Linked DNA regions of Tribolium castaneum. The protein of the gene in region 2 purifies or fractionates together with the protein of the main gene of each other region. This does not show direct contact. Links are inferred from orthologs where the notes say so. Each region holds a gene or a part of one and is shown on either strand. Other genes may lie near its edges. The genes, in order: gw, AGO1, RISC-loading complex subunit tarbp2 and Dcr-1.

The links.
Region 1: the proteins of AGO1 (region 2) and gw purify together in Drosophila melanogaster (affinity purification with western blotting; 17 studies listed by BioGRID, with this or other methods). This does not show direct contact. The link is inferred for Tribolium castaneum from reciprocal best matches to the Drosophila melanogaster genes AGO1 and gw.
Region 3: the proteins of AGO1 (region 2) and RISC-loading complex subunit tarbp2 purify together in Drosophila melanogaster (affinity purification with western blotting; 4 studies listed by BioGRID, with this or other methods). This does not show direct contact. The link is inferred for Tribolium castaneum from reciprocal best matches to the Drosophila melanogaster genes AGO1 and loqs.
Region 4: the proteins of AGO1 (region 2) and Dcr-1 purify together in Drosophila melanogaster (affinity purification with western blotting; 5 studies listed by BioGRID, with this or other methods). This does not show direct contact. The link is inferred for Tribolium castaneum from reciprocal best matches to the Drosophila melanogaster genes AGO1 and Dcr-1.

What each region holds. Positions count from the first base shown.
Region 1 is NC_087399.1:1,984,314-1,991,549, forward strand, and holds part of gw (protein Gawky), read right to left. Parts: exon of another isoform or gene 7,141-7,236; intron 7,090-7,140; exon of another isoform or gene 6,953-7,089; intron 6,881-6,952; exon of another isoform or gene 6,774-6,880; intron 6,041-6,773; 5' UTR 6,002-6,040; coding exon 5,404-6,001; intron 5,348-5,403; coding exon 5,228-5,347; intron 5,171-5,227; coding exon 4,914-5,170; intron 4,862-4,913; coding exon 4,114-4,861; intron 3,484-4,113; coding exon 3,167-3,483; intron 3,115-3,166; coding exon 2,329-3,114; intron 2,279-2,328; coding exon 2,136-2,278; intron 1,928-2,135; coding exon 1,774-1,927; intron 1,720-1,773; coding exon 1,502-1,719; intron 1,452-1,501; coding exon 1,214-1,451; intron 1,169-1,213; coding exon 1,049-1,168; intron 1,001-1,048; coding exon 692-1,000; 3' UTR 1-691. UniProt on the Drosophila melanogaster protein: Required for gene silencing mediated by micro-RNAs (miRNAs). Silences both polyadenylated and deadenylated mRNAs. Required for miRNA-mediated translational repression and mRNA decay. Not required for miRNA target recognition.
Region 2 is NC_087394.1:4,848,842-4,856,077, forward strand, and holds part of AGO1 (protein argonaute-2), read right to left. Parts: intron 5,968-7,236; coding exon 5,732-5,967; intron 5,680-5,731; coding exon 5,235-5,679; intron 5,185-5,234; coding exon 4,962-5,184; intron 2,636-4,961; coding exon 2,405-2,635; intron 2,335-2,404; coding exon 2,142-2,334; intron 1,891-2,141; coding exon 1,757-1,890; intron 1-1,756.
Region 3 is NC_087395.1:26,691,323-26,699,301, reverse strand, and holds RISC-loading complex subunit tarbp2, read right to left. Parts: upstream 4,516-7,979; 5' UTR 4,371-4,515; intron 4,077-4,370; exon of another isoform or gene 4,069-4,076; 5' UTR 3,998-4,068; coding exon 3,971-3,997; intron 3,854-3,970; coding exon 3,713-3,853; intron 3,658-3,712; coding exon 3,371-3,657; intron 2,464-3,370; coding exon 2,163-2,463; intron 1,948-2,162; coding exon 1,798-1,947; intron 1,730-1,797; coding exon 1,481-1,729; 3' UTR 688-1,480; downstream 1-687. Other genes in the region: GATOR2 complex protein WDR24, read left to right, coding at 5,717-5,807, 5,865-5,981, 6,031-6,467, 6,810-7,058, 7,833-7,979.
Region 4 is NC_087403.1:8,545,519-8,553,275, forward strand, and holds the start of Dcr-1 (endoribonuclease Dcr-1), read right to left. Parts: upstream 4,731-7,757; 5' UTR 4,607-4,730; intron 4,546-4,606; 5' UTR 4,515-4,545; coding exon 3,246-4,514; intron 2,108-3,245; coding exon 1,055-2,107; intron 1,008-1,054; coding exon 197-1,007; intron 151-196; coding exon 1-150. Other genes in the region: probable elongation factor 1-delta, read right to left, coding at 6,190-6,470. UniProt on the Drosophila melanogaster protein: Endoribonuclease which functions in microRNA- (miRNA) gene silencing and, independently of its ribonuclease III activity, also acts in the short interfering RNA- (siRNA) gene silencing pathway.

The DNA.
Region 1 (7,236 bases), on a different chromosome or scaffold from region 2:
TACAGTACACCTTAAATAATTCAATCTTCTTTTAATTTTTGTTTTTAAATACACGAATAATGAGTTTGGTCGCGTACATATATATTATCTTTTTTCTCATATATATATAATTAACCTTGCTCGGGACTAGTTCGGGTTACGTCTAAAAATGAAATGTCACATTAAGTGCGTTTAGAAACTTGAGCGCCATCAGTGGAAAACAAGAAAACGCCGCCTCACAGTCACAATTGGAATAATGTTACGATTAATTTAAGTAACAAGTGTTGACGTATTTTTTTGCAATTTTTCTCCAAATTTTAATACTTTATTTGCTAATAATTCTCTTTTACAAACAATTCTTGCATCACAAACATACACAATTACTCCACTTCTTCTCAATTAAATAATAAATAAATAATAAAAAATGGCAACTCTCATTTAATTTCAATTTTAAGATAAAACAAAAGGTATTCACGACCGGTCCTTGTGTACATCTGTGAAACTCATTAAATCATAAAGCAATCCTAAAAACAACAACCGTCGTAAAAATTAAAAATTACATTAAATAACAATAAAGGTGGAATAATACAATTCGTGTTTTCCGACATCTTACAAAAATCAATCAAGTTAAAAACGTTTAAAACTTACATCATCAACACCCAATATAATGTGTGAAGTCAGTGTCAGTCGTTTTTTTTTTTTTGTATTTTGTTTACATTGACTCACCGCCGAGGAGGTCGCCGGGAAGAAACGAGTTTAGGCTCGAGGGTGTAGCACGTGCCGGATCAGTCGTATCCAAGGTGGTGCTACCCCATAGACTAGCTGATGATTGACTGTTTGACCAGCCAGTACTCCAGGTGTCGCTCCCTGTACTGGGCTGCTTGGTGGAACCTCTCCACGCTCCCGATGAACTCTGTTGACTTGCAACTTGTTGCAGCAGAGCATTGGCGTCCCATTCTGACGGATTCTCCGCCAAAATCGTCGTATTACCGAGCACGCAATTGTTTAAGGCAGTTTGAGCCTGTAATCGCACCATTACCCCCACAAACCTACCCTTTAATCAACTTACTTTAGTAGCTTCTTCACGTGTCGAGTATTTGGCAAGAGCGAAACCTTGATGCAGGTAAAGGTGGAAACTTTGCAATGGGCCGTGTTGCATACACAGTGTGCGTAGAGTCGACCCGTCAATCTGTTACATTCGATTAAGCGCAAAAAATCACCTAGTTAACGTTACCTGAGCGGTCAAATTGCGCAGGAGAAGCCACGGAGACCCGCCCCAACTTCCAGAGCCCCGTTGGCCGCCGCCCCACGACGCCGCCGACGACCAGCCATTGACCAGGGCTCCACCTTTGGCGGACAGACCTGGTGGCGGGCCGCGACTTTTCGGAGCCGCCCATAATTCGGACGTGACAGCTGTGGTCGGATTCAACTCACCTAGACCACTCTTCGATGACGGCAACTTATTCTGAGGACTAAACGCGACAGTGAAATGAACGAAGCGAGTTAGTTGGTTTGTTCGAACCTAGTGAACGCGCTCGATGTCGACGACGGCGGATTGAAACTCCAAGTCGACGAGCTGAGACTTAAAGGCTGGATTGTGTCGCCGGCCGGGGGGCTCTTGTTATTCGGATTCATTTGGAACAGTTCGGTGTCTTTTATGGTGGCGATTGAGAGTGACGAACGCACTACTGAACCGGGAGTAATACTGGGATCGTCTTCGATCGATTTTATTTGATTACCCTGGAATTTTGCGCGGGATTAGATAATGTGTTAGTTTTGGGCCGGTTTTTGTACCTTCCAGGGCTTTCCAGGTTCAAATTCAGGTACTAAATCAGACAAGGATGGTTGAGTAGGCGTAGGCCACTGTGCGTCTTTACCATCGTTTGATGAATCGCCGCCGCCGGATTCTGGCCAACCACCGTCGCCAGTTCGGCCGCTAGACCAAGGACTTTTGCTCCATTAGTTTAGGTTTAAGCAAAATCAACGATTTTTTTCACTCGAATTTGACTCATAACGTATTGATAATCACGCAACCATCATTAATTGGATCCGTTGTTTATAATCATTGAAATTTTAACTTTACAGGATTTGGTTCATATTTAATGTATTTGTAGCAAGATTTGTTTAATAAAAAAAAAAAAAAACAGACTACTCACCCATCGGGTTGGGTCAACCCTAGTGGATTCATGTTAGGTGAGGTAGCCAAAGGTTTTGACGATGAACCTGGGGCACGACTAAACTCTCCACCTTCTTCTTTATCCTTATTGATCCATTGGTTAAGCCTCGATTGACTCTGATTCTGTAAAAAACCACTCCCGTATCACATACGCAATTTTTTGCTCAACTCACCACTTGATCCTTAATCCCCAAATCGGCGAAATTGCTCTGTAGGGCATTAATCGAGTCATGCATCGGTGCAGCCGTCTTGAACAAATCCGACTGTCCCCCACCGATACTTCCATGGTTTTGTTGTTTGACATAGATGGCTTGTTGTGCAGCAATCTGATTTTGCAAATTCGTAATCTGTTGTTTAGTCTTCGTAATCAACACCGAACACTGCAAGAGTGCACTGTTCGGCTTCCCGTTGATGCATTGCGACTGTGCAACCGACTGTTGTGTCATCAACTGTTGAAGTGTCTTAATCTGTTGCAACAATTGATTCAAGAGAATCAAAGTTTGCGGTGCCAACGGTTGATTGAGAATTTGATGATTAAGATAACCAGCTTGCACGGCCATCTGTATTTGTTGTACGAGCATTCGTAATTGTTGAGTTGAGGGTTGCGATTGGGGTTGAAGATTGCGTCCGGCCGCCGAAACAGCACCAAAACCTTGCGAACCGCCGCCGCCTTGTGTCAACATTTTGTGTACTCCAGCAGGCGAGATGTTATTAATGAGTGAATTATTTGGCCCACCTGAACTGTTCATGTTATTGAGGAGGTTCGGGGCGTTGTTGCCCTGCGGGAACGACATTTGGCCTGGGGGTCCAGACGGGAAACGCTGACCCGGGAACTGCTGATGGTCGTAGTGGTCGTCGTGGCGGTTTCGCCAGCCGTCCGGATTACGCGAACCCAGGATTTCAAGAGCGTCTTCGTAGTTCATGTCGCCGCGGCGAAGCGCCGTCTCGACGTCCTCTTTCTATTAAAAAAAAATCGCAATATAAAACAACAACAATTTTTTAAGCACTGACTTTGTAGCCCATATCCATCAACATTCGGAAACACTTAGAGTTCCAGATCATTTCTTTCGTGAGATTTTGCTTGGGTCCTTTGTTGTGGCCCCAGTCGATTTCGTTGTCGCCCCATAGATGGGTCCCGGCCATTTTCTGTTTGTTCCAACCGCCCACGGATTCGTCCCATCCCGGTCCGGTTTCGTCCCATGAACCATTTCGCCCATGACACCACACTGAACCGTCTGGTTTTATACGGGACTGAGCCATTCCAGGTGGACCAGCGGTGCTACCGCGTCCCATACTTGCCCCTGTGGGCAGATCTTTCCAGTGAGAGCCTATTGTAGGTGAAAAGTTGGATGAGTGCAAGTGTGATTATGATCAGTGTGTGTCTGCGGTGTTAATCTCGTGTGGAAATGTCAAAGAAAAATTAAACAAAATTAAAATCATGATTAGTCTAATTACCCCTCGACGATTCCGCTCTCTAGCACAAGAAATATTTACATTATGTCTTGCCCAAAAAACACGCAAACAATTCTATTTGAATTCAAACGTAAGCTCTAAAATCCCCAATTTTTTTCATTATTACGTGACTCAGTGTTGACGCGTTCTATTTATATTCAAACAACAACCATGTTTATTTCTTTAAGACATTACAATAGCCAAATTTAGAACCTGATGGACCTCGAGGAATTTTAAACCGCTTAAAATAAATTTGATGTCACACAAATCTCATATCAAATATTATGAAACAAAGTTATCTTCCTTTTGTTTCTCATTGCACAAGCAAAAGACAAATTTTCCTCAATTCTCAAACCTTACGTAAACATTTAAAACAAAAATGCATTTGCCACTTGTACCTTATCTAATTATATCAAGTGCATGACTCAATTTTTGCGTGTAATTTCGACAAGAATAACAAACCAATCAAAAATATAAAATAAATAAGTGCAATTCCGCTACGCTACCTTGCTGAGGGTTGCCCCAGAGCGAAGTACCGTCATCATAATTGGGCATATTACGTCTTTGTGTCGGCGGCGATGGTTCTTCCCATCCGGCCCCATTTCCAGGTCCCACCGGCATTTTATTCTGATGATGAATATGTTGTGTCCCTGTATGCGGTCCCGCTTGTCCCCAGAACGCATCAGCGGCTCCAGCACCATTCAGTCTTCCGGTGATTCCTCTCGGATCGCCTCTCATATCACTTCCAGCCAGTCTCATTTGTTCTCTCGGATCTAACAAACGCATCGGATCCGAACTTCCGGCTCGCATATCTCGCAAATCTGGACGCATATCGCGCGGATCAATGCCTCCAGTTGCACGTGGATCGGTGGCAGTGCGCGGATCGCCCCAGCCAGGGTTTCCAGCCGCTGCGCCCCATTCGGACTCTTTTTTCGGACCGCCCCACATACCGCCACTATTGGCAGTATTGCCCCATTGTTGCTGGCCTGAGGGGACACCGGTCCATACGTTTGAACTGTCGGCGTCGTCGTCTTCGCCCCAGGTACCGCCAATGTTGGTCGAGGGGGTGTGACCCCATGGGGTTTTCTGTTGGGGCTGTGGAGGCGGCTGACCGCCGTTACGCAAATTGGCTTCCCATAGTTCGGTGCCGTTGTTGATTGCTGGCTTCCAAGGAGGTGGAGCTGAACCGTCCATCTTCATCGAGGGTTCGGGACTGCCGGGGATGTCCCAGTTCGTGTCTTGATTCACATGTTGCTGTACGAAATGATTAGTTAAATTTATTTCGCAAAAAATTAAAAATACGTACGCCTCCCCAACCGTCTTGGCTGAAGATGGCTTCTCTCATGTTGTTGAGTTGTTCAAGTTGTTGTTTGGTTGAAGTGGTCGTGTTGGGTTGGGCGGTGGGATTGGGTGGTTTAGCTGAAGATGTCGAAGTTGTAGGTTGGGGTCCATTGTTGGTTGTTGGTGGTTTTGCACCTGGTTGACCCCAACTGGAATTGTTTGGTTGTGAGGCGGGTGTTTGTTGTTGTCCATTCGAATTCAGGTTAGAATTGGCCTTGTTGGCTATTTGAATAAAAAATTAATACTTTTTGTATCGGTTTTAATTGATCAAATTTTTACCATCTTGCGTAGGTCCCTGGCTTGAGGTCGGTGGTCGATTAGCGTTATTGTTCCATTGCTGAGTGCCTGTATTGTTTTGATTAGCGGGATTGGCTGTTCCCCAGCCGCTCGAAGTGTTAGCTATATTACGGAATGAATTCGTTTAAAATGAATAAAATGATTTAGGGGTTTGTTACCGTTATTATTACTGGCCTGTTGTGAGGGTGGGGTGCCCCAGCCAGAAGTGCCGGTGCTGAGCGAACTTTCGCCACCGCCTCTTAATCTCAGAGGCGGCGTATGATTATCGCTTGTGCGCTGAACGTGGGGCTCACGGCACATTTCGTCGTCGTCGCAGTGTTCGTCGTTGTTATCGCAGCTAGTGAGGTTCTTCAGTGCATTGAGGTCGAGTACTTCGAGGTCATCAGACTTTTGGTTGGGAATGTCTCGTCCGAGGGGTAAAGCACCAAACTTACATACTAACTTATCGCTATTATTGTGGGCGACCTTGCAGTGGTCTTTACGTTGTATTTTTGGTACGGTAACAGAGTTCAGAAGACAGTTTTCGGTCACAGATTGCATTCTAATATTAGAGTTGCCGTTTAAACGGCAACTTGAGCCGTTTATCACAGATGTGGCGCCTTTAGCGGCGATGGGTTGGCTCGGGGGGTCGGCTCGACCCCCCCAAGCTGCCCGAGCGACTTGTACTGGGGGTGCGCTGCCCCTCATGGCTGACACTTGAGGCACTTGGTAGGTAGGAAATGTAGACTTCGGCTCGGAGGGGGTGGGGGCGCGCATCGTCACTAGTGCTCCATATCAGTCTGGCCAGCCAGAGATCTGCAAAACACCAACACTTCAACTCTTCCACACATTTTGAAAAAATCACGAAAAATAGTTCCGTTTCTGGCCGACAACGCTTACTTTCAACTACGTTTCTAGCTGACAATGTTCGAAAAAAAGCCAAAAATATTGATATTTTTGCACTAATTTAGCCAGTTTTCGACTTGCAACTTGGGCGATTTCTGTGTTTTAATAAAATGTTGGGAGAAATATTGTTTAAAAGAAAAACCAAAAATACCCTTTTCCACCGAATTTGGTGATTCCACTGACAGAATTTTTGATTAAATTTTACCAAAAAATGTGTTAGAAAGAAGGAAAAAAATGTGTTCAAATATAATTAACTTTTTGCTCACTTTTTTGAATTTTTCGGCAAAAGTGCAGGGTCTTGAATTGTGTTTTATACATATTTCCACGATTTTTGCTGTGTACTCTTTCGTTTTTAGAATTATTTTGACAAAACTGTCATTTTGACGTCATTCACAATTTAAATCAAGCGTTCAAATTTCATAGGTGACTTGATGAACAGCCATTTCTGAACAGTACGTACTTTTAACTCCGACAACGCCATTCTTGACCAGTTTAGGCGAATTTTTGGCTGATTTTGGACGAAATTTTGCAATTAATAAAACAAAATCAAAAAATTAAATCCAGGGATCGGTAAAAACACCACCCTTATTTAGAATAAAGACCGCCATCTTATCTTATTCAAATAAACGTCAAACATACCAACCTCCGATAATAAAGTGAAAGAAAATCAAAAAATGAAATAGAAAACGCCACTACCCACTTTAGCGAGCGGTAGAGATGCACGAAATGCGACAACCACCTACATTTCAGTATCTCTGCGGTTTAATTTTAGAAATGAAAGATTATTTTGACGCATTGTGTAAGCAATGCACGAGTAGGCGTCGGATTACTCGAAAATTTCAATTACCAACATTGGGAGAACTAAATTAAAATGTCATTTTGATAAATTGTTGCTGGTCGTAAAAAATCGATAAGAATAGCCAAGTATCCACCAAATTGTAACACAAAGTGAGCGCAAAGTATAAAATACGTGACGTCATTCGAGCGAATTGTTTATCCAATCATTTCAGATAATTGCGGACGATTAAAAAAATGTTACAATAAATGCAAAAACTTACACACAAATATGGACGCCCGTGGAACAACTAGCCAAGTTGGTAGAGGGG
Region 2 (7,236 bases):
ACTAGTTTTATATTTAATAAAACTTGACTCTACAGAGGTTTATCACTTTTTGGTTTTCTAAGACTTCAGTAAATGCAAAAAAGTTATTTGGTAAAATGTTTTTAAAAATGTTCAAATAACTCAAAATTTTCGGCAAAATAGACGTGGGCTAGAGGCAGCTAAGTTTTTCTATGAGATGAACTGTGTAAGCTACCAACTAGTCCCAAGATTGACTTTTACAAAATATTTCATAGAAAAAAAATAGTCGACAAGTTTTTTTATTTTTTTATTTTTCATGTTTTTGTATTTTTATTTTCACAATACAATTAGTGTATCGGCAGTCAACGGAGTAATTTGATATATAAAATCAAAAATGTAATACAATATTTACTATACTAGGTGGAAACCTTATCGCACACCCAAGAAAATCGCAATTTCTAATTAAATAAAAAAATATTGCATTTTACACGCCTGACTGTACGTTCGAAAGGTATCTCCCCTAATTTTTTGGTAATTGTTCACTTGCAGATAAAAATAATAATTAAAAAAAGTAATTTTTGACTAAAAAATCAAATTCTAAATTTTATACTAAACCAGGCGTATTCACTTCAGATAATTGTTTACGAAGTTAGCGAAGAAAAATACCAATCAGATTTTGAATTAAACGCACTTTTACATTTTAACTTTAAAAAGTATTTTTATTTATGAGTTGCTACTTGTGGCGTCGTAAATTTAGGTGACAATGTGAACTGTAATTGGGGTAAGATTGTAAAAGATTTCGTTGAGATATTTCAATGCAGGCATCAGTTTTATTGCAAGACTGTAAATAAGGGGCTTCAAAAAGGTCGGCTACTGGTAACTGATCCCTTTGTTGGCAAATTATACCATTTTCTAATAAATCACGCGCCTAGTTTGCGTCTAAATAAAAAAAACCGATTATTTTACCAACCAAGTAAAAATTTATAATTCTGATACCAGTGTTCTATAGTTCAAAAAACTAAAAACTAGTTAAATTAACAGTAAGTGCTCAAAAACTCACAAAACTGCTACGACTTTATTTATTAACAAAAAAATTTAATAAAAATCGAGAATGGTCCTTTTAATGTATAGGCTGGTGTGTAAAATTTCAGAATTTTTATTTCATTAGAAGTCGCGATTTTCCTGGGTGCGCGATAAGGTTGCCACCCAGTACAATCAATAACAATCTTTTATCTCTTTAAATTTGAGAATTTTTGGCTTACATTTTATTGTGAATTACATAATATAGGTACTAAACTTTAGAAAAAAACTAGTGGTTTTTATTTATTTAAAAAGTCCATAATCCAAAAAAAATGCGCTCATTTTATAATGTACTTAATAATTTTCTTAGAGCTATAATAAAATGACGTACATTTAGATGTTAAAATCTTTTTTATGTTATACACTTCGTTATCAGTTTTCCTCCTTTTATAGATGTGTAAAAAATAAACAACACTAAAAACAATAAATATGGCTCAGTGAATCCTAAAGGCTGTTTTACATAAGTTCCAAACATGTCATTCTGAAGTGTAATTTTATCGTAATTAACGAAAATTCACAAACATGTTAAAAATATTAGTGAAAGAATTTTCAAAAATTTTGCATTGATTCAAACCCATCTAACATCAAAATCGATTTTCTCATCTTGTTTGGTATTTTTCAATAATTTTTTCTATTATAAAAATAATAATAGTGAAATATTGACTTGAAACCAGTCATTGTATAGATTTTTTTCAGTCATTACTAACATGATACATACCTTAAAGCGTCTTCCCTCACGGTACGCTGTGGAGCAAAACAAGCGATGGCCCAAACTCTGATTTCCACACCCGTAAAGAATTGTTTGCCTCGCATGTCCCACACGCCTTGATTAGGCATCGCTTGCTGTTTGCTCTAAGAGAAAAAACACAAAACAATTAATTCCATATAACAATCGCATTCTTTATGTATTTTTATTCATTATAAAAAATTCTCATCAAACACACGAACAACAAAACAACCACGATGCTATCACACAGTGAACCAATAAATTCAAATCGAAAAAAACACGTGACAACATGCAACGAAAACATCTATCTACAAAAAATAAACACACGAATAAACGAATGATTAAAATAATAATAGTAATACAACTTGAAACTAACGTGCCAGCCCACCTGTCCGCTGAGGGAAGCCACCCGACCACCGTACTGTAGTTTAGGAGGTGGGAGAACCCTACCGCGAACTTCCATCATGTTGTTACTGATTGTCAAGCCGAATTCTTGCACGTAGGGGTCGTTGTTGAAATCAGCCCTCCTTACCAAGTTGTTGATTTCACGTTCTCTGTCCGGTGCTGATCTATATTTAAAAAAAAATATATAAAATAGTACATATAACTTGAAGCCTTAGTGTGTTATTATCTCATCACCTTGCTGTAGCTTTTATCATAGTGGATGTTTGCATATCCGTTAGTTTCTTGATGCATCGTTGGCCAGCTACAATGTTACAGACTTCTAACGGCAAATAGGTGTGTTTGTGTTCCTGGCCAACCTGGAGGCACGGTAAATGGGGGTATCTTAATTTCATTTTGTACTTGTCGAGGAAATACTTTGCTACGGTACACTCTACGGTCTGTCCGTTGTCCAGTTGGAGGGGGAAACTAAAACAAACAAAAAACAAATTATAACACTGTAATACACAATTCTAAATTAAATTATGCATAAAACAAATAACTCACCCCTTTAAAAGAGTGAACACTAAAATTAGTATTAACTAAATGCTGTGGCAATCATTTTACGAGACCTGTGCAAATAAAATGTAACTAACAAGTTTAAAGTAATCGTAGTTTTTACATTTTTTAAACAAATAGAAATACATAGCTATAATTCATATTTCATAGTCATATTTCAAATGAATTATTAACTTTTTTTTAACAGAAAGCTATATTTATAATTTCTGGATTGGTCGATTATTATACAACACAAAAGTTTAGCCGATCTCGAAATATTTCGCTTTTTTTTTAATATTATACTTCAGAAATCAGTAGCTCTACCACTTTTAAATAATATGTATTTTGAAATCGCTTTTGGGCACTATTTTAAATTAATAAGATCACAAATCGTATGCATTTAGACACCAGTTTTTAATTACTATTCTGGTGGAAAATGATTTAAAACAGCAGTATTTTGAAATGACTTAATTTTGAGATGATTCCTTGGTCCAAATCGGTAAAAGTCGCCGCAGAAGAGCTGCAAAAGTTTGTTTTCGACCACAATATAAAATTGTAGCTAATCTTCTAAAAGTTTTGTCGCTTTGAGAAATAAATTTTACGAAATCAAATATTTTCAACAAAAAAACTAGCGTCTGAAGCGTCGTTTTTGGGCAGAATAAAGCAATTCCAACTTTTTCTACAGCGATTTTTGAAGTAAAAATTGCTCCAGGTCAAAATATTTCAACAAAACTGGTGATTAAAATAAATAAGCCTTTTCCAGTCAGAATAAAGCGATTGTAGATTATCTATATAGCAAGTTTTGTTCTTTAATTAAACCAAAGAATAAAGTAATATTTTTAAGCCAGAAATCCCCGAAAAAATAATAAAACTGATAAATTAATCGTAGCTTTCGGTCAGCTTAAATCGTTTTTAGGTTTTTGTAGAAGTGGGTAAGTAGGTATAAATACATGTAAGAATAAGTTTATTTACTTTTTGTTATTTTTATTTTTACTGTATCTCAAAAACTACTAATCACACAAAAACCAGCGTCTGCTATAAAATGATTTTCTAAACATGTGATCTTTTCAGACTATTTCTAAAATATTTTATAACAAAAATTAATATCCAAATTATTTATTCCTAATGACCTCTGTGTTTTGTGCAAAAATTACGTAAAAATTGTTACCAGCCTCAAAAAAAAACAATTAAATTTTACGTCTAAAATAAGATTGATAGGTTACCCCCTAGATGGAGTTTACAATTTTTGATAGCAATAAAAAATTCTACTCAAAAAAATTACTCTGGGTGTAAATTTTTAACAATATCTAACAAAACAGTTTACAGAGATAATAACTATTAAAAAATGACTGCCATGTCACCTTTAAAGGTTTCTAGTTTCTTTAGAAATCATTTTCGGACACGCGTCCATAGAATTTTTTTTGTATTTAGCTCGAAAGAATCACTTTTCAAATATTGTACAAAAGAATAAGCTTTCAAATTCTATTAGTACCAACGAACTGATTTGTGCAACAAAGTTATGAAACAATTTAAATAAGAGGGCCCTCGCAGCCCCTTTAACAATGCTTTACAACCTTACAATTTGCACTGTTAAATGACTAATTATTTAAAACAACGAATGTATGCCAAGTATTAAAGAAAAAAATATATATTCTGTATTTTTGGAGCAACTTTGGAGGTTAATAATAACACCATAAGAAAAACCTTTAAAAAAATAAAAAATGTGGGTCAATTCAATTTTAATACTCAATCTATGGTTAAAGTATTTACACTATCTCGCGAGACATGCTGTATATCATCTACCAATTAATTTGATTACTTGTTGAATAATAATTGGGTTTAATTTTTATTTATAGCTTAATATTTTTAAGTAATAATAATTTTCCTCTAATACTACTCTGTTTTCTATAGGATTGAACTTTATTAAGTTGAGTTATTAGTTACTCGTCTAAAAAATTGAAAAAAAAAATTCGCTTGCACAGCTTTTTTCAATTACAAGTAAAAATGAAAAATCCTACTCTAAATTACATACGTGTTTCATTCATTCAATTAAAATGATTAACACAGCCAAAGAATACAAAAAAGTAAGTAGAATTTTGTAGATTTCAACTAACATTTTCATACCAATACAAAATTTTTTGATAATTTTCTTTAGTTCTTTACGTTTTCATACTAATAACACAGCAACTGTGAGATAAAAAATTAATTTAAATTTAATTAGAATGCAACAAATTAATAAAATTAATCATCAACTTACGATTGCATCTGAGCCGGTCTTCGTGTCACATTGCACACCCTATACTTCCGCCTCATGGTCCCACAATGTGTTATTTCGATTTTCAAACCTTTGATTTCTTTCGTAAATTTGACACGTTGACTATCAGTTAGCGGTTTTCTCTGTTCGTTGATATCTCGAATATCCAAAACTTCGCACATAAATTCGATAACCGGCTGTGCTTTGTAAAAAGCAGTTGCAGAAACTGTAAATAAACATTTAAAAAAAAAACACAACCAACACACCAAAACATACCATCAATATTCAACATCATTTTCCATTGGCTAGGCCTGACCGACTGGTGAAACCCAAACCAAACCTCTCGCCCACCACCCAACGGATGATAATACCCTTCCGGACTGCTGAAGAAGCTTCGACCAACTGGCGTGTAACTCATCGACGGTAAGTGTCTCATTACGACATCAAGCGCCAGAATTGCCTCATACGGTATTTGTCGTGTTCTCCCTTCTAGCGCTTCCTCGAGTCCGTAAAGCGACACTTGCGCCACCCATTTTATTGTCACCCTAAACAACCTATCCTTGCCTTCGCCAGGCAACGTCACTTCCAACTCCTCGCGTGAATTACCAATCGGTAGAGGATCACGCGTGTAGAGATTGTTTCTACCGTCGAAGACCGGCTTCAAGTTGCCGAAAATTTTACCATAGGCGTGTACCATAGTCTCGATAATTTCCCGATTGACCTGGAGACAAAAACTTAAGGAAAAAAACATTTGATTTAGACGAAATGTGAACCTTTCTGGGGCATTTATCGGGCTGTATGCTCACGTCGTAGTGATGGACGAAGCCACGCGGCATCGTCACTTGGAAATGGTTGGCTTTCAAGCCAATGGGACGGCCTTCGCGGCCGAGATTTGGCCGACGGGGACATTGGAAGACCGGCGGATCTGTCGTGGGTGGCACGGTGGCGAGGGCCGTGCTCGTCGCCCCCACGACGGCCACGGCGGTGCTAGCGGTTCCAGGGGCGGTTGCTGGAACAACAAACCCATCTTTAAGACCAACACGTGGGGCTGAAATCTTAACCGGAGTGTCGAGCTCGTCGAACACCTTCAACACGCTCTGGATGATGTCGGGAAGAGGTAAACTCATGGTTGGAAACGTCACGATTATTAAACAATACAAATAATAACACACGAACGATCACACACATGAAAGTGATACGAAATCGAAAAAGGCTTCTTTATATAGCCAGTAAGGTAAAGAAATGGCAACAAAAACTTAAGAGATAAGTAAAAACACTTCGTTTTATCATTTTGTCTCTCGAATAAACGATTAACGACGCATTGGCCTTTCATAGCAAAAATTTGTAAAAGAGAGTTAAATAACACAATACTTACCGTCAAAATTAAATGGTTCAATCTTGACTAGTATTTTTATTTGACAATTCTTTTAGGGAACGCATTGGTATTAGCATTATCCATAAAACAGGCTTCCGGATATTAGTAAAAAATGTTACAATGACTTTAATGAAAAAAGAAAAGAAAACTTTCTAAAAAAACACTCTTTTGCATATGAAGCCCATAAAATTTTGAATTTGTTTCATTGTTTGAAAGGTAACGTTGAAACAGAATAAACAAGAATACGATTTGTGTTTTAGCATAACTGTAAAATTTCATGAAAACAAACCGAAAAGTTATTAAACTTGCATTTTTGGCGTGTTAAGCACGTTTTTGAAGTAAAAACAGAATCGAGAACCATTTATTTATTTATTTATTTTTATTTAAAACAGACCGAAAAATCACAAAAATTTCATGAAAAATACGCAACAAAAAACAAAAAACTTGGTGAAAAAAGGTACTTTTAGATGAAATCCTCAATTTTTGGGTGAGATTTTGATAAAACAAACTGAAAAATCGCCCAATCTAAGGCACCAAGTGCAAATGTTTTTGTCTTTTTCAAGTGTTTTTGGTTGTTTTATGGCCAGGCGACAGACAACTATTATTTTGCAAAATTTAGATAAACAAAACAAAATGAAAAGATTTATAAAGCGAACATTTTGTTGTTCCTTTTAACTATTTTAATGTTTAAAAAAGTTTTTATCAAAAAAAAGTTAAAAATGTTGGACACATCATGATATTAGTTGGTTTTTGATAGAAATTCTTAAAAAAAAATAAGGCAAAAAAACAAAAATTTGGTAAAGAATTGTGATATCTTAACGTCTTTTTAAAACCGTATTTTCATTTACTTTCTTAATAAACATTTACATTGGTTTTGTGTATCGTTTTAAAATACCAAATGTG
Region 3 (7,979 bases), on a different chromosome or scaffold from region 2:
TATTCTCCGTCGTGGAAAAACGTGTAAAGTTTCTTTTAATTCGGTTGGGTTCCGAAGCTTTCAAGAGCAACAGATTTTCTTCAACAACAATCAGAAGCTTTCGTAAAAGCATTATTTATACATTCAAAAGGCTCTAGTCGAAAACCTCCCGTATTTAAATATTCAGTAGTTTGTTGCAAACAGGTGGACGAAAGTTGTTTTTCGTTCCAATTCGAGAAAATTTCAAACCGAATCGAATTAATTAAATTCCTGTCTTTAATTTCGACGAAACGTCGATCCACTTTCAGTCAGAGTGCAAGCGTTGTAAAATTATCGACAAACATAGTGTTTTTTTAACGGGTTTACCGAGATGCATTATCGCAGATTAAAACTTGTTCATGCATGTTGAGGGAAAATGAATTTAAAAAAAAAATATTTTTTACTGCTTTATGCAAATTCGGTTAGAGAACGCTAGCTGATTAATTGAGCGAACACTGAAAAATTCATTCACGGCCAAGGAAACATCTCTCTGACAATGAATATTTTACAAACAATTAAATAAATTTTCAGCGCGAAAATTGAGCTTCCAACTCCGACGTGGAAGAGCAAATTAAAAAATTTACAAGGCCGGATATAAATCATGTCACGTTGAATGACAGTGACAATGCTGTAACATGGCCACCACCGTCTTTTTTTTTAATTAAACACTTTTTGTAAGCTATTATTTTATTTTCAATTAGCATACACATCAATATCGATATGGCTCAAGTAGAACATAATAAAGGAAAAACAATATTGTCCGAATTGATGTACTTGATCTTAACATTAGCTTCTATTGACATATATGTTAATTCTGGGGAAACAGGGGTACAACCTCTATACTTTGCATTAAATAAATGCTCCCTTTACACAATATAAATATGTACAACATGTTATATGGGGGCACCCAACATTACAACTCAAGTTCTAGTGCCTATATAGTGGAATGCTAAAGCTAGGTACCTAAACATCACTACTCTTAATAATAGACACCTTTTAAAAAATCATTTTCTGCTTGAGTGCATTAACACACACACAAACACAAAAATATAAAAAACGACATACATAGTCTCGAAAAAAACCACTAATTCTATGCAAAGTATAGCTTGTAAAATTAGGTGCGTTCCTTCTCGTTAATAAGTCGCACAGTTTTTATTGTTTCGCATTTGAACAATACACAATAAAAAGTGCCCAACTGACTGTGATGTATGTAATCGTAAAATTGTCGACGCCGCCCAAGATTCATCCATCACGTGTTACCAAAATGGCGCCGATCGAGAAGAAAAGCAAAATGCATGTAGGGAAAGCACATGCATCTTGATACATTTTTGTTTGAAAAAATGACTCGGCTACACTTAAAAACATCTCAACATGGATTAGCCTAAATAAGTATACACAATAAAAACAAATTAAATAAAAAAGTTGCAGATGTTTGAAGTGTAAACGATCATAAGCTCGAAATTCACTTCTTGCTCATTATTCTTAAATATTCGAGTGCATTCAAAGCAGCCGCTGATTGCGCTTCCTTCGGTGTCGCTCCGGCACCGTAACACACCGCTACCGGTAATGTAGAAAGCTGTACTAAGCACTGACTTTTGCCAGATAGTGCTTTCTCCTCTATATCGACATAAGTTACTTCAAATTGTTGCTCGGACGCAATTTCATGCAAAAACTGAATGAAGTTGAAGTCTTTGCTGTTGAGAACTATGTTCTGGAAACGATTTATACAAATGTAAAAACGATACAATTTTCGCATTTTTGCTAAATCAAGTAGTTTACCTGCAACTCCTTTAGCTTCGGCCCATTGGACTGCTTGAGGGCTTTGTGAAACTGTGACACCTTTTGGGTGTGTTGTATGTTGAGTGTCGGTATTTTACTATCTTTCAGACCACTGTAGCGTCCTTGTAAGTTACACATTTTCGCCGCCAACTACAAAATACGTCATTGAATTGAGACAGATTTGCTCGGGATTATTTTTACGAATTTTATTCATTTCAATTTTGTACAGCGCGCTCTGAAAGATCGTAAAAATACCTCAGCAAGATCCAATTTTTTATTAACAATAAGCAAACACAAAAAGCATCCATGTCTGAAGAAGGAAAGCCAAACGAAAAAACTAAACTAAATCAACAGAAACGTCTTACCTCTTCATCGTCGTCGTAACCTTGCGGCAGATTATTGCCCTCTAGAGGCATATCTTGCAGGGCCTGCCACATTTTGTGTGCTGCCATTCTTTTAGCTAATTTTTTTGACTTGCCAGTACCGACTTCTTTGAATTTTAACACTTGACAAGCTATCGTGAACTGGCGTTCGTGTGGAAGACCTTCCTCATGTTCCATCTCATAGGACGGTGGAGGCCATCTCCGAGACATGCACATCTCCTGGAGCCAACCGATAGGGTTCCCCATAACTTTATCATCAAACGGAGACACCACTTGAGCTGTACTGAATACAATATTTCAAATGTTAGACGTTGCGATTTATTGGCCGTACGGATACCTAAAAATTAGGATACGACACGACGTACAAATAAATTCTCCTTTCGTTTTCTTTAACAGCAGTAAATTTAATTTGGCAGTATTTATATAACGCAAAAAAAATGGGAGTTTACGTAAAATACGTAAAGAAATTTTCAAATTTTACGTAAATAAATTTTTTTGCAAATATTTGCTTTGATTTACATAATAACCGTATAAGTATATTAATTATTGCGATTTAAATTTGCGTTTTTTGTTAAAGAATAAATTTTGTCAAATAATGAAACATTAGGAAAAATACAAACTGTATCGACAACAAGAAAGAAATTTTCTTAAATGAGACAAGTTTTCATTTAACAAATCGGCCAATATGTGGAACAAATCAACAGAAAAAGGACAATAACTCTATTAAAAAATTCCAACTTTTTCATTAACGTTTTTTTATAAAGATTTTTGTTAAATAGTAAGTAAGCTAAATCGATCAAAATCAGCCAAAGAAAATGTAAATTTAAAAACATACTCTTGTGATGTTCTTCAATGAGTTCATAAAATTCTCTTACAATATGCGACTTTTCTTTGCAAAGTCATGTGTATGTGTGTGTGTGTGTATGTGTGTGATTTGTAAGTTCATCAAAATATAGCCTTATTTTCGTATCAATTTTAAACTAAACCTCAAGTAGTTCACAGACTAATCTAACTATATTTCATAAACTTCTCGAAAATAGTAAAATGTGCAACAATAAAGGAAAGAATATGTTTTTTAGCTCCATTTTATGTTTGATTGAATCACCAGCAATAGATATCCAAAAAAAAAATTGAAATTCGTTTCGCCTCCTAATATTTAGTTTTCCGTAGTTATATGCTGATTTATTTACATATCGTTGGCTCCGGGAGTCCCGTTAGAAGCGTTGGCTTGTTCTGGACTCTGTTTGCCGACCAAAACATCAAGCAGATTCTTCGCAGCAGCGTGTTTGGCGTCTTTTTTCGACCTCCCTGTTCCAGTAGCAACCAAATCGTTATTAATAAACACCCTGTAGCGGAATATAGGTTCGTGAATAGCCCCCTCGATTTGGACTAGTTCGTACTTAGGCGTCGCCCCACGACGACTTAATAACTCCTGAAGTACTGAAACAGGAGTTTTGGTCGGCAACGACGCCATCTCCTAAAACTCAGTTAGTATCAAAAAAAAATTATAATAATAATTAGAAAAATCGCACCAATTTAGCCTCTTCGCTCAGAGACAAGCGTTCAGCCTGCATTCCGTGTAAAGTATTTCTGTTGTTTTTCCTCCTAGGATGGACGTTGTGTATTTGACTTGAGGAATGCAGAAGCGTCATATTTGGGTCCATGCGAAATTGCTGAAAAGAAAAATCGTTGCAAGGTTTGACAATTGGAAAACTGGCGCGAATAAAAAACCGACCATCACCACGAGAATAAAGGCATAACAAATCCTCGATTTTTTTAAATTTCTTTACCTGTTCAACTGGCGGAGGTACAAACATCTCGCCGCTTGTCGGCCCTTAATTTCCGCTTCCCGTACTGAAGAAAACGAGCAAATTATATTCCATTCGCCCTACACAACTCAAAGATTTTAAATCAACAACACAAAAGAAAAGAGAGAGAAACTGGTAACGGTTTCAACAAAGCGACCCCTTCGCATTCACACCCCTAAAGCAACGGTCAAAATTTTTAACTAAAACTATTAGTTTCGGTACTTAAAATACAAATTTACTCCAAATTTTTTTGTTATTATAATTTTTGTAAAAAGAGCCGGTAAAGAAGGTTCATAAATATTCCACTAACAACCCATAATTCGCAATAGACAACACAACTCTATTGTAGCAAAATTATATGTAAAACAGTAAAATTACTTACAATTATTTAGAATTTTTTATTACACTTTGAAATACAATCGTCGCTATAAACACTGTAATGGCGACGTTTTTTGATGGACACAAACGTCAAATGGTTAAACAGTTCGCATGCGAAGAAGTAACATTCTACAGTAGCGCCACTTAGCGGGAATTCGTTGCTACCAACTTTTGTTCTTTTTAGAAATCCATAAACGACGAAAAATGTGGTTACCAACATGAATTTTGGTCATTTCACTATTTTTTAATATTTGCAAGATAATAATAATAAATTTGATCCAAAAACAATAATTTTTACTTTTTACTGATGTATTTTATTTACAATTACACATCTCTTAACATCCTCTTGTCAAAGTAATCACAAATCGCCCAATTTTCCGCTTGAAAACTATTTAAAAATGTGTAATTTTAAAATTGTCATATTCTTAGCCTATTTACGACCAACTAGACTGTAAAAAAATCACACAAGATCCTCATTTCTGACCAAGATGCGTTTACGAACGCTTGTTTTGGTATTTGTATTTTTGTTAACATTCTCTCCAAGCTCTGAAATTATCTTCGACAGTTTCATTGCTACAAATGGTAAGAAAACTTAATAAAAAAGTTACTGTATACTATTGTGTAATTCTTCTAATTTAAAATTTTAGAAATGGAAGGAGCGCGTAAAAAGAAAAAAGGAGGTGGCAGCAAATACACTGTACCACTTCTTTTCGGAGCTTTAATGATCAAATCTATTATTTTTCCGTTAGCTTTTAAAACTATGGCCGTAATGTCAAGCATTGCAATACTTTTAAGTACTATGAGTTTAATTATGTCATCAATCGTGGGATACATCAGAATGGGACTTAAGTCTGCCCCTGTTAAAGTTGTTCATAAACAACCACCATCGCCCTTCAATAATTGGGCCAAAGATGATGATGGTAAAAATTATTACACACTCGGAGATAATTATAATTATGATTTGGTGGCACCACCACCCAGATAAGTAAAAAATATGTTATGTAACATTTATTTAACCCAAATAAAATGTTTTAATAACAATCACTTTTTCCCTTCTGATTATTAAAATGTACTGCTTCTCTGTTGTATTGTATGGCTATAACTGGTAATTGTTTGGAAGCTACTGATTTCTAGGAAACGTGAAACGTCAGACTTGACGTTTTTAGGTTATTCCTTTTAACCTCGCATTTTTTTGTTAAATATAAAAAAATGACTAAAAACTATTTCTTTATAATAAAAAATGACTAAGTAAACGCGTGACTGAACGTAGTAATTATAAATTAAACTTTATCAGTGTCAAATTTATAAATCGCTGGATTTTATCAAAGAAGTGTCAAGAATATGTAAACAATGGCTACATTTCACGTTTTGCAAGAAGGTCCTGTAAATGCTTTAGCCTTAAATAGAGACAATACTCAAGTGGCAATTGGTGGACGCAATGGTAGCACAAATTAAAAGGAAAAATTGTTCATTCATTACAAAGCACTTATTTTTGTAGTGTTCAAAGTTTACACAATTGAAGAAGACAAATTCCGCGAAGTGTGCAACTTGCGAGCATCCAAACACCTCAATCTGAGCTTTTCTTGCAACGATGTTTCGTGGAGTTGGACTGATGGTAGTACTTGAAGGTGCATACAGTTTGTTCAATAACTGTTCGTTTTCAGACCATTATTTGGCGACCGCCGCCACCAACGGCCATGTCTGTGTTTGGAATCTCACAAAAATGGGCAAAGCAATGCAAGAACAAGATTATCAAGAACACAAACGTACAGTAAACAAAGTGAATTTTCACGCCAGTGAACCAAACAGACTCATATCCGGCTCTCAAGATGGCACGATGCGTTATTTTGATATCCGCGCCAAAAACGCAGTTGCTATTTTTTACAGTAACACAGAGAGTGTCCGCGATGTGCAGTTCAGCCCTCATAATCCATATACTTTTGCGGCCGTTTCGGAAAACGGAAGCGTCCAACTATGGGATGTAAGAAGATCTGATAAATGCCAACAGCAATTTGCTGCACACAGTGGACCCATTTTTGCCTGCGATTGGCATCCGGAGAACACGTGGCTGGCCACAGCCAGTAGAGATAAAACTATCAAAGTTTGTATTCTTTAAAAATGTCTTTGAAAGATGGGGAACTTTGTTTATAAACGGCTAGTTGCATTATGAAATTTCACGGCTTAAAAAAATAGAAATGGGACAAAATACATGGGGTGATATTTGAAAATTGCTGAAACTTTAATTTGAATAATAAACTGTCAGTTTGACTTTAAATTTGATGTATACCCTAGATGTATACTAACTTCAGAAATAATGTCACATTGATACATAATATGTATGTATTTAATCCCAATCAATATAAGAGCCGCGAGGTAAAAATGAAATTCTCTGTCCATTAAAGATGTTTTGATTTAAATATTTATAAAATGCGCGTTTTATTAGGTCTGGGATTTGACAAGTAAACTGACTTTAGAATATACCATTCATACTATAGCTTCAATAGGACATGTCAAATGGCGCCCTCAACGGCGGTTTCATATAGCTTCATGTGCTTTAGTTGTTGACTGTAGTATAAATATTTGGGATGTGAGGAGGCCCTACATTCCTTATGCCTCTTTCAATGAACACAAGGATACTCCAAGTGGAGTGGCTTGGAAAGAAGATCCTCATGTTTTCCTCAGCAGTGGTCGGGTATGACTTTTTCAGTAAATAGTATTTTATATGTTTTAATAGCCATTAAATGCGAACAGCGTACATTACGATCCGCCCAGTTAATATAAAAAAAATACGATTTTAAGTGTCAAATTTATTTTTAAATATTAGCCTATTGTCAAACGCTCAAGGAAATCTAAAAATAGTTGCTGCCATATTACATTCTCATTGGTCACAAGTTGTCTTTGTGGTCGCCACACTTAATGAGTTTCATTAAAGTACAGGTCACAACCATTTAACGAATCATTTAAAGTATAATCTAGTAGAAAAAATTTTAAAAAAACTACCGGGAGCCTATTAAAGATTGTGAATTCTTGTCGTTAGATTGGCCAACAGATTTGAAATCTTAATTTGGCAACTTTGACTATCAAATTTATATGTTAAAGTTTTACCATTTTGTAACATTTCGAGTGTGATTTACCTAATTTCAATTAATAAAAATTGGTTTTTATTTTTTTATCATGTAGGCTTTGGAAGTATTCAAAAAACAAATAGTGTGTTGTACTGCTTTTGAAGTACTCTTGACATTCCGTTACATTTGAAAAAAAAAGTTGAAGGTGGTAGCGCATCCTTGGCAGTAGATAAACAAAAACCATATCCACCAATAAGCTCAATGTTGCCAGTAGATTTTTTTGCCCCAATTTTTAAGTCACCCGTTGTGTGTCATTAATACCAACTTTAGAAATAATCAGGCTAATCAATACAACTATATTTTAAAATATAACTTTCTGTATACAATTTTTGTTTGTTTAGGATAGTACTTTGTATCAACATTCGTTCGATTACGCTAGCCGGCCAGCGAAAAAAGCTAATCCCCAAGGTGTCTCGTTAAATAATCGAGGCGAGATTTTGTACGCTCACAAAACCAATGTTAGCACCTTGGTTAAAGCACCATCAGTT
Region 4 (7,757 bases), on a different chromosome or scaffold from region 2:
GGTCAAAATCCTCGATCTTTGCTATCTCAGTACATGGGATTTCTTCAATGACTGGTTCGATTTTCTCCTGTTTCTTCTTCTCCTCGTCTTTGGACTTCTTCAAGACGTCGGCCAAGGACCATCCGAAGTTTAACGGTGGCCATTTGAACTCTAAAATAATAGATCACGCACCTGGAACAAAACAGTAATCAGTTACCTGAATCCAGCTCGATCTTGCCCAAATTCAGCTCCAACGCAACTGTTCGCCTGATTTGATCAGCCAATAGCAGTGCGTTGATCCTGTACAAGATGCAGGGTAAACATACGGCTTTTCGCCACAAAGAGGCAGAAAACGGGTGGATGGCGCACAATTCGGGGACGAGAATTTGCTTCTGTTCCAGTTTCTCGCGTTTTGCTCGTTTCGTGGCCTCGCTACTGGTCGGTAAAGCCACTCCCTTCCTGTTGACATACCTCGGGGTTAGGAAATTCAACCTGGCCGACGTATGGTCAACGTCCAGCAAGTGTTGGCTTTTATTCTGTATCTGTATGCTGTATTTCCTCAAGTAGTACTCCTCGAAAGTGGCGTAGTCGGAGCCTGGAAAGTCCGAGGCCGGGTTTAAGTTGGAGCAAATTTCCGCGACGTAGAAATACTGGGGTTGATCTTGGTTGCGGTACCAGGGCATGACAACCGCGTCTCGGTACTTTTCGGGATCGAACTCGTAGCTTTTTCGGACTTCTTCCGGAATTATCTCGGGGAGTACCGTCAAGTTGGCGTAGATTAAGTCGATGAAGTCCCAGTCGACGGTGGTGGTGGCACCATCTATCGTTGGCACGATTAAGTACGAATTGGCCGAAGCGTCAGGATTGAAAAGGGTTAGGTACTTTTGTAAACGTAAAACACTAGTAAACGTGTAATTTAAAAATTCCCTAATTTTGCAAATTTGATTCTCCGTTACAATTAACTGTGAACACAATTGTAAATCAACACTTACTTCACCCGATCTTGTGAAAATTGGAAAGGCACTTATCTGAAATTTAGAAATTAGACCAAACTTAATCAAGAGACGAGTCGCACCTTTGGTATTTCTTTGGAGGTCAGTATTCCAAACCCTTGAGGAGAGTCCTCCGGAGGGTATATTTTCCGCCCCCTGGTGTTTTGTTCTTCGGGCAAAGGGCAGGTCAGTTTCATTACGATTTTGTAAAAGTAAGTCGGTTGGCCAATAATTGGGTGACAGTCAAGTAGAGCATCGGCAACTTTTTTATAGTAATACTGCCGCCGTTTCGTAGTTCCCGGTCTCGGGTCTAGATTTTCTTCATCTGATTCTTCAAGCGCCGAGCTATTCCAGTCTTCTTCGTTCACTTTGAAATTCTCTTTGCCTATTGGTTGCAGATTATCGTCTAATTCCCCCGCTTTGTGTAGGAGTTGGCAAATCATAAAAGCTGCAGCTCTGCGTGCCAGTAAAGTATTAATCATTGGAGGGCTTGTCACCGTTTTCTTCACCGGAGAATTGATAGGTAACCGAATGGAACAAATATAACCATTCTCGACCTTCTCCTCATGCCAAATTGGCGTCAAGCGGGTGAACGTATCGCTGGGCAATTTTGCACAATACCGGTTGACTAAAGCTATAGCATTCGAGAGACTAACTGAGTTAGCCCCCGGTTCGGCCGACGGCTGATACGGTCTACATTGCAGAGACGAAGCATCAGCAACCAGCTCCTCATTCTTATCAGGTTCCAAACTGTAACACCTCTTCAATAGCGTATTCTCAACTTCGTTGTACTCGGCTAAATTCTCAACAAAATCGCTAACTTCGTTCTCGTTCGCTAGCAAAAGAAAATGAGCTTCGTTTGCGCGCGCTCGCGCTTTACTATGAATGTAGCTATGGAACGACTGAGGTAAATCGAAACGTATCACTAAATTACATTTAGGAAGATCACAGCCTTGTTCTAACGCCGACGTTGCTATCATTATATTGCATTCGTGACTTCTGTACTTCCGCAAAACTTCCTCCTGCCTTTTATGCTCGGATTCCGCCTCCCGAGGCTCGCGCACCGGATCTGCGATCTTATTCACGGAGAACGAAACCGACACCCACCAATACTCCTCGTCGCTCTTTGACATCACCTGACACAATGCAAACAATCAGCGGGCAAACCATCAATTTCTAAGGCTGAGGGGACCAGCTTAGTATCGCAAGATTTTGCCCAAAGAATAGAAGCTCGAGTTCAAACCATGAAGTCAAGCAGATAAATATAAACAAAAATAGCATTAGACTATTAAAGATAAACTAGACTTGCGTTGCTTCTTCTTTTCAAAAGAAAAGAATTTCTTAGCAAAAGTGAGAGAAGTAAATGCTTCACGTTTAAAGGAAAAATAAAATCACTTCAAACTTATGCAGTTCTCTAAATACTCTAGTGTTTTTTGTAAATATATCCACTTGAGCTTGGCAACTAAATATATAAACGCTAAGAAATTTAACACCAAAATTGACTATCATTAACAAGAAAAAAAAACATTACTCACTGCTGAAATTCTCAATTCTCAAAAACGAGTAATAAATAACCAAGAGATCTTTCACAAAGACTGTCTCAAAAGTACGCTTAAATTTGCTAATGGTATGATACATGTTTGTAAACGGTGTGGGTTTGAGTTCATGAACACCATCAAATATATTTTGCAAAAACATTTATTACCACCGACTGAAAAATTATACAAAAAAATTATGCTTCTTGTCACACAGCAAAACATTTGAAATACCTAATGATTCGGTAATTCTCACATTAATGTTATGTCTTGGTCAGCAAACAGGCCTGATTTAAATATGTCTTGTGTCTTTTTGGCACAAAATGAAAAATTATCTTAAAAATCTTCCACAGTGGTGAAAGATTTAAAAAATAAAATAGAACACATTTGCAACAAAAAACGCTAAAATTCTGTGACAGATCATTAAAAGTATGCCAGTGGGAAGTCGTGACCTCATTAAACCCCCAAAAAAAATAAATCACGAACTACTAGAAAGTTTTTCCTTTTTTTAGTCCAAACAATTAGTTGTCAGATATTTTTCCTGTTTTAATTTTGTGTTAAACATCAAGGGCTTTAAAGTAGTTTTTAAACAGATCATAAGTTACAAAATAAACGTACTTCTTCAATTTATGATTTTAGTGTTAGTTCTGTGGCAAAACCTTGCGACAGGCAGCATTAAAACACGATGGCACTTTAGGGCAACCCCTTAGCCTTACAGGAACACGTCTGCTTTACTTACACACAGTAGGGCGAAGAGGGCCTCCGCCTTGTAGCGATTTTTGACGAAAACGAGTGCGCAGAGCATCTCGTCGCTTTGCGCGCGCGAGATGTACGGCCTTCGGGGCCCTTTGTAGTTTTTCCCTTTTCCCTTCTTGGGGTCTTTGAGGTCTGGTAGTTTGTCGCAAGTTTCCGGCTTATCACCGGTCGGTTTAAACTGCTTTAGAACTTGGAGAAATCTGAGTACTTTCGGCGTTGAGAAACGAAACACCTTTTCCTTATCTGTGTAGTCTTGGAATTCGAGTTCGCAGAGAGCCCTTATCGAAACTAATACTGATGAAGCAACGCATAACAATAAATAATGTCTTTCGTAAGGAACTTTGACTTTGAGCTTCTCGATCTTGATAAGCATGCCATAGGCGGCTCTGTCGGCCGACCAGGGCCCCAAATCGTCCAGAATTTCGAGGAAGTCGTCGAAGAAGCTCAAAGGCTGTTCCTTGGGGTCTGGGACTTGCTTGAATTCCTCGAGCAAGTCATCGTCGTAGATTTCGCTCGGATCGTAGCGGTGGTCCTTGAGGAAATCCTGACAGGAGGTTATAGTGGCCTTGATTTTGTCCTGCAAAGGGCTTGGAATGGGTTTAAAGCACTCGACTATGCGTTCGCGCGGCCGACAAGATAAGCGTATCAGCGTGAGAATTTCACTAGAAGTGTCTACCGAGGAACTAAGTAATTTTTCTAAGCGTTGTAATTCGGCTTCTAGACGATCGGGTTGCATCTCGGAGCCCAAAAGACCGGCAGTCAGGCCCAAAATTCGAGGTCTGGGCGCTTGAATCGCCTGATACCGGGCCATAATTTCCCTAACTAACGACTGTTGCCCCCCGTATAAGCAGTCTATCACGATTAGAGCGTAACTGTCCAAATGAACGAAGTTCTTCTTACATAGAAGCACACAGACTTCGGCTGTGGTCACAATCACATTGCTTGCCTTCAACGACGGGGGGTTTTCCTCTTTATCTATGCTCGTAACGGTCAGATCGGTCAGCAGCTTCACGTGCGACGTCATTATCGGGACGTTCGGGCCGTCCAGCACGAATAAAGCCTGCTTTCCGTGGGGCACCCGCATCTTGTGGGAGAACTCTTGCAGCAGTTTTATTGTTATAAACGCTTTCGCCGAACTCGCACTCGAACATACGATTGTATTACGCTTCTTAGCGCTGTCCAGCAGCTCCACTTGATACTCTCGTGGGGTAAACGTGTGCGTGTAAACATTTTCGTTTAAATAACAAGCCATGTAGGGGTGCTGTACACAACGGAGGACTTATCTAAGCATTTTTCGTTGCTATTATTGCTGATTATGATTGAACTAACTTAGAGACGTCTCACCACCAACGGGATACATCTTTTCTCACTTGGAATATACAAATTATCACAAAAATACCAGTTTAGATTCAAACAACACCACACAGACCGAGCGGGTTTTGACAGTTGACAGCGTTTTGACAATCACTCCAAAAAAATTGAATGTCGGTGAAGAGCATGGTTCAAAAATGGTGCTGGCACCATCAATATTACAGTCGACCAGACAATTTATTTCCCCACCATTCTCGTTTTCTGCAGCCAATTCACACCAGAAAATTTATCAAAATAATCGTAAATCATTATAAAAACATCAATAAGCTGTTACGCTGACTTGCATATCACATTTGTAGAAAATCTCCTGACCATTATAATGTGTTTCTATTACAAATTAAAACTTAACTGTATTTAATTTCTGCATTTTTTATTCTCATATTCAAGCAATGCAAACTGATTTTTTTTCACCCCCTTTATATTCTGCAATTTTCTTTATCTTTGTAAAAGAAGAGTCCTTCGATAGGGCCTTCGACTGTAAAAATGGATTTTTAAAGATTCTTAAAGATTTTCCGATGTCGCAAACTTTTTTTTTCATCTACTTTATATTATGTAATTTTCCTTATTTTTACAGGAGATTATTTTGCAGGAGACTGTAAAAAAATCATGTTCGGACAAACACCCTTGGGACCTTAACAATTTTTTTTAATTTTTATAAAGTTCCTCTATTTTGCAAACTTTATTTTCTTCACCCACTTTATATCCTGCAATTTTCTTTATTTTTGCAGGAAATTAAGCTCTTCGATAGGGCCTTCGACTGTAAAAAAATCATAAAGTACCCCTTGGAACTTTAATGAATTTTTAAAGATTCTTTAAAATTTCCCGATTTCGCAAACTTTATCTTTAAAAATTCATTACAGTGTTCAGAATGGCCCCCAAAAGGCGAATCAATTATTACAGGAAAGGAGGGAAATAGTAAAAATAATGAATACTTTTGCAAAATGCTTTTATAGAAAAGTTGTTGTACTTATATTTTATTATGTGGTAATGAGTGATAAACACTTTTTTTGGTAGATAGAAAGCGTGCCTAACTGCTTAAATAAGCTTTTTAGCACACTCGTATTTTGAAGTTCTCGAATTTCAAAAAATAAAAGTGTTTTTTCTGCGGCTTGACTTTGCTTTAATTCTGTGTCTTCAAAGTAGAATTCTTAGATGGGGAAACTATGTACATTTTTTTTTCTTGATCCGTTAATGTGTAGAATAGTCGAAATATGTTTAGTCGTCAGCAATGAATCTGGCATTTAAAGACACCGTTCACAATTTATTAATGTTTATACACAACTTTATTCAACACATTTTAATTGCTATTAGAAATGATTTTTTTTTTATTTGACAGTTTTTTATTGCTATGAGTTCTCATAGAGTAAGGCACTAGTTTCCTAAGAAGAGCCATGCTTGTGCCAAATCACAATTGACTGCAAAGTCGATACTAATATGTGGAAAAATAAAAAAAAAACGAAATGGTTAATAAAACACAGATAAAAATTAACTATATTTATTTGGAAATGAAACCGGGGCCACTTTATTTATTTAAATAAAAAAGTACAAAGGGTCGCTTAGATCTTGTTGAAGGCCGCAATATCCACACTCTGGACGTAGTCTTCAATTGCTGTGATTTCGTCCTGTAGCCAGTCAATTGAAATTTTCTCGTCTTCAACAACACACGAGATTTGCAATTTGTGGATGCCGTAAGCCAAAGGGACCAGTTTGGCGGCCCCCCAGAGGAGGCCGTCCGATGAAATCTTCCTGACTTGGTTTTCGAGCTCTTTCATGTCGGTTTCGTCATCCCAGGGCTTCACGTCGAGGATCACGTTCGATTTTGCGATTAAAGCCGGCTCTGGAAATCAACAACCAATTTAGTTTTTTTATGAGGCGTCAAAACTATGTTACTTTTAGCCAATCAGCAAACGGCGCGCCAAAACGTCAGCGAGAATGCACTTTTAAATTTCATACGTATTTATATTTATATGCATGTTTGTATGCGAATTTTAATATACTGTACAAGGTTATTACAAAAATATGTTGTCACACTTTAGGGGGTTATTGCGACAGAAAATGTTTGCCTATCAACCCCTATTCTGAAATCAGTCGTTTTTTCCCTGAAGTCAGTTTTGTTGAAATACGTGTACTATCTTGTTCATATTAAAAGATTTCGATATTTATTAACTCAAAATATCTAATATAGTTTTTGAGTTAGAGGTAACTTTATTTTAAAAATTTTTAGTCATAGTACGTAGTGGTCTTTAATTTTAAGCCAGTTTAATTTAAACAAGAATTCTACCCCACTTTTAGCGTAAGAGGGTAGGGGGTGATTTGGCGCGACAAGGGCCCAGAGTTGGGCGAATAGTATTAGTAGGTTAGCAGTAAGAGAACCCTGTTGACAGAAGACAAAATAAAGTTGTTATTGTTGGAAGATGGTGTTTTAATGCAATAAACATACAGTCCACATTTAAAAAACTGTATGTTTATTCGCATTAAAACACCACCTTCTAACAATAACAATATTTTCTAACATTCTAACAATAACAAATTATTTTGTCTTCCGTCAACAGGGTTCCCTTACTACTAACTTACTAATACTACTGCTCCCAATTCTGGGCCTTTGTCGGCCCAAACCACCCTCTACCCTCTTGTGCTAAAGATAGAGTAGAATTCTTAACATACATCATCCCCTAGAAATTAACCATCCTTAATTAGAAATTTTAAATGAAACCCCCTGCTTTTTGAAGCTACCCCTAACTAAAAAAAGTCAACAAATATTAGTTTTCTCCACGCTTAACTTTATTGCCTCCCATCCAAAAATGTTTCAAAAAGTAGAGAGAGCTATTTAAAATGTTAAAGAAATGTAGGTTTTTAAACTCTACCCTCGCAGACTAAAATATTGTTTGTCTTAATTAAATAGGCTTAAGATCTAGTAGAATAGCAAAACAAATTATTATAAAGGTCATCTATGACTGTTAGACGCGATGTGTCGTTGAATCAAAATTTTGAATGCTGGCAAACAAAAGCAAAAGCGCTTCAAACTTAGAAACTACAGAACATACACAAGAAAATACAAAAACGTAAAACACAAATAAAGACAAACGATACAATTGAAACAACATTGCCTAAAAAAAATGAAAAA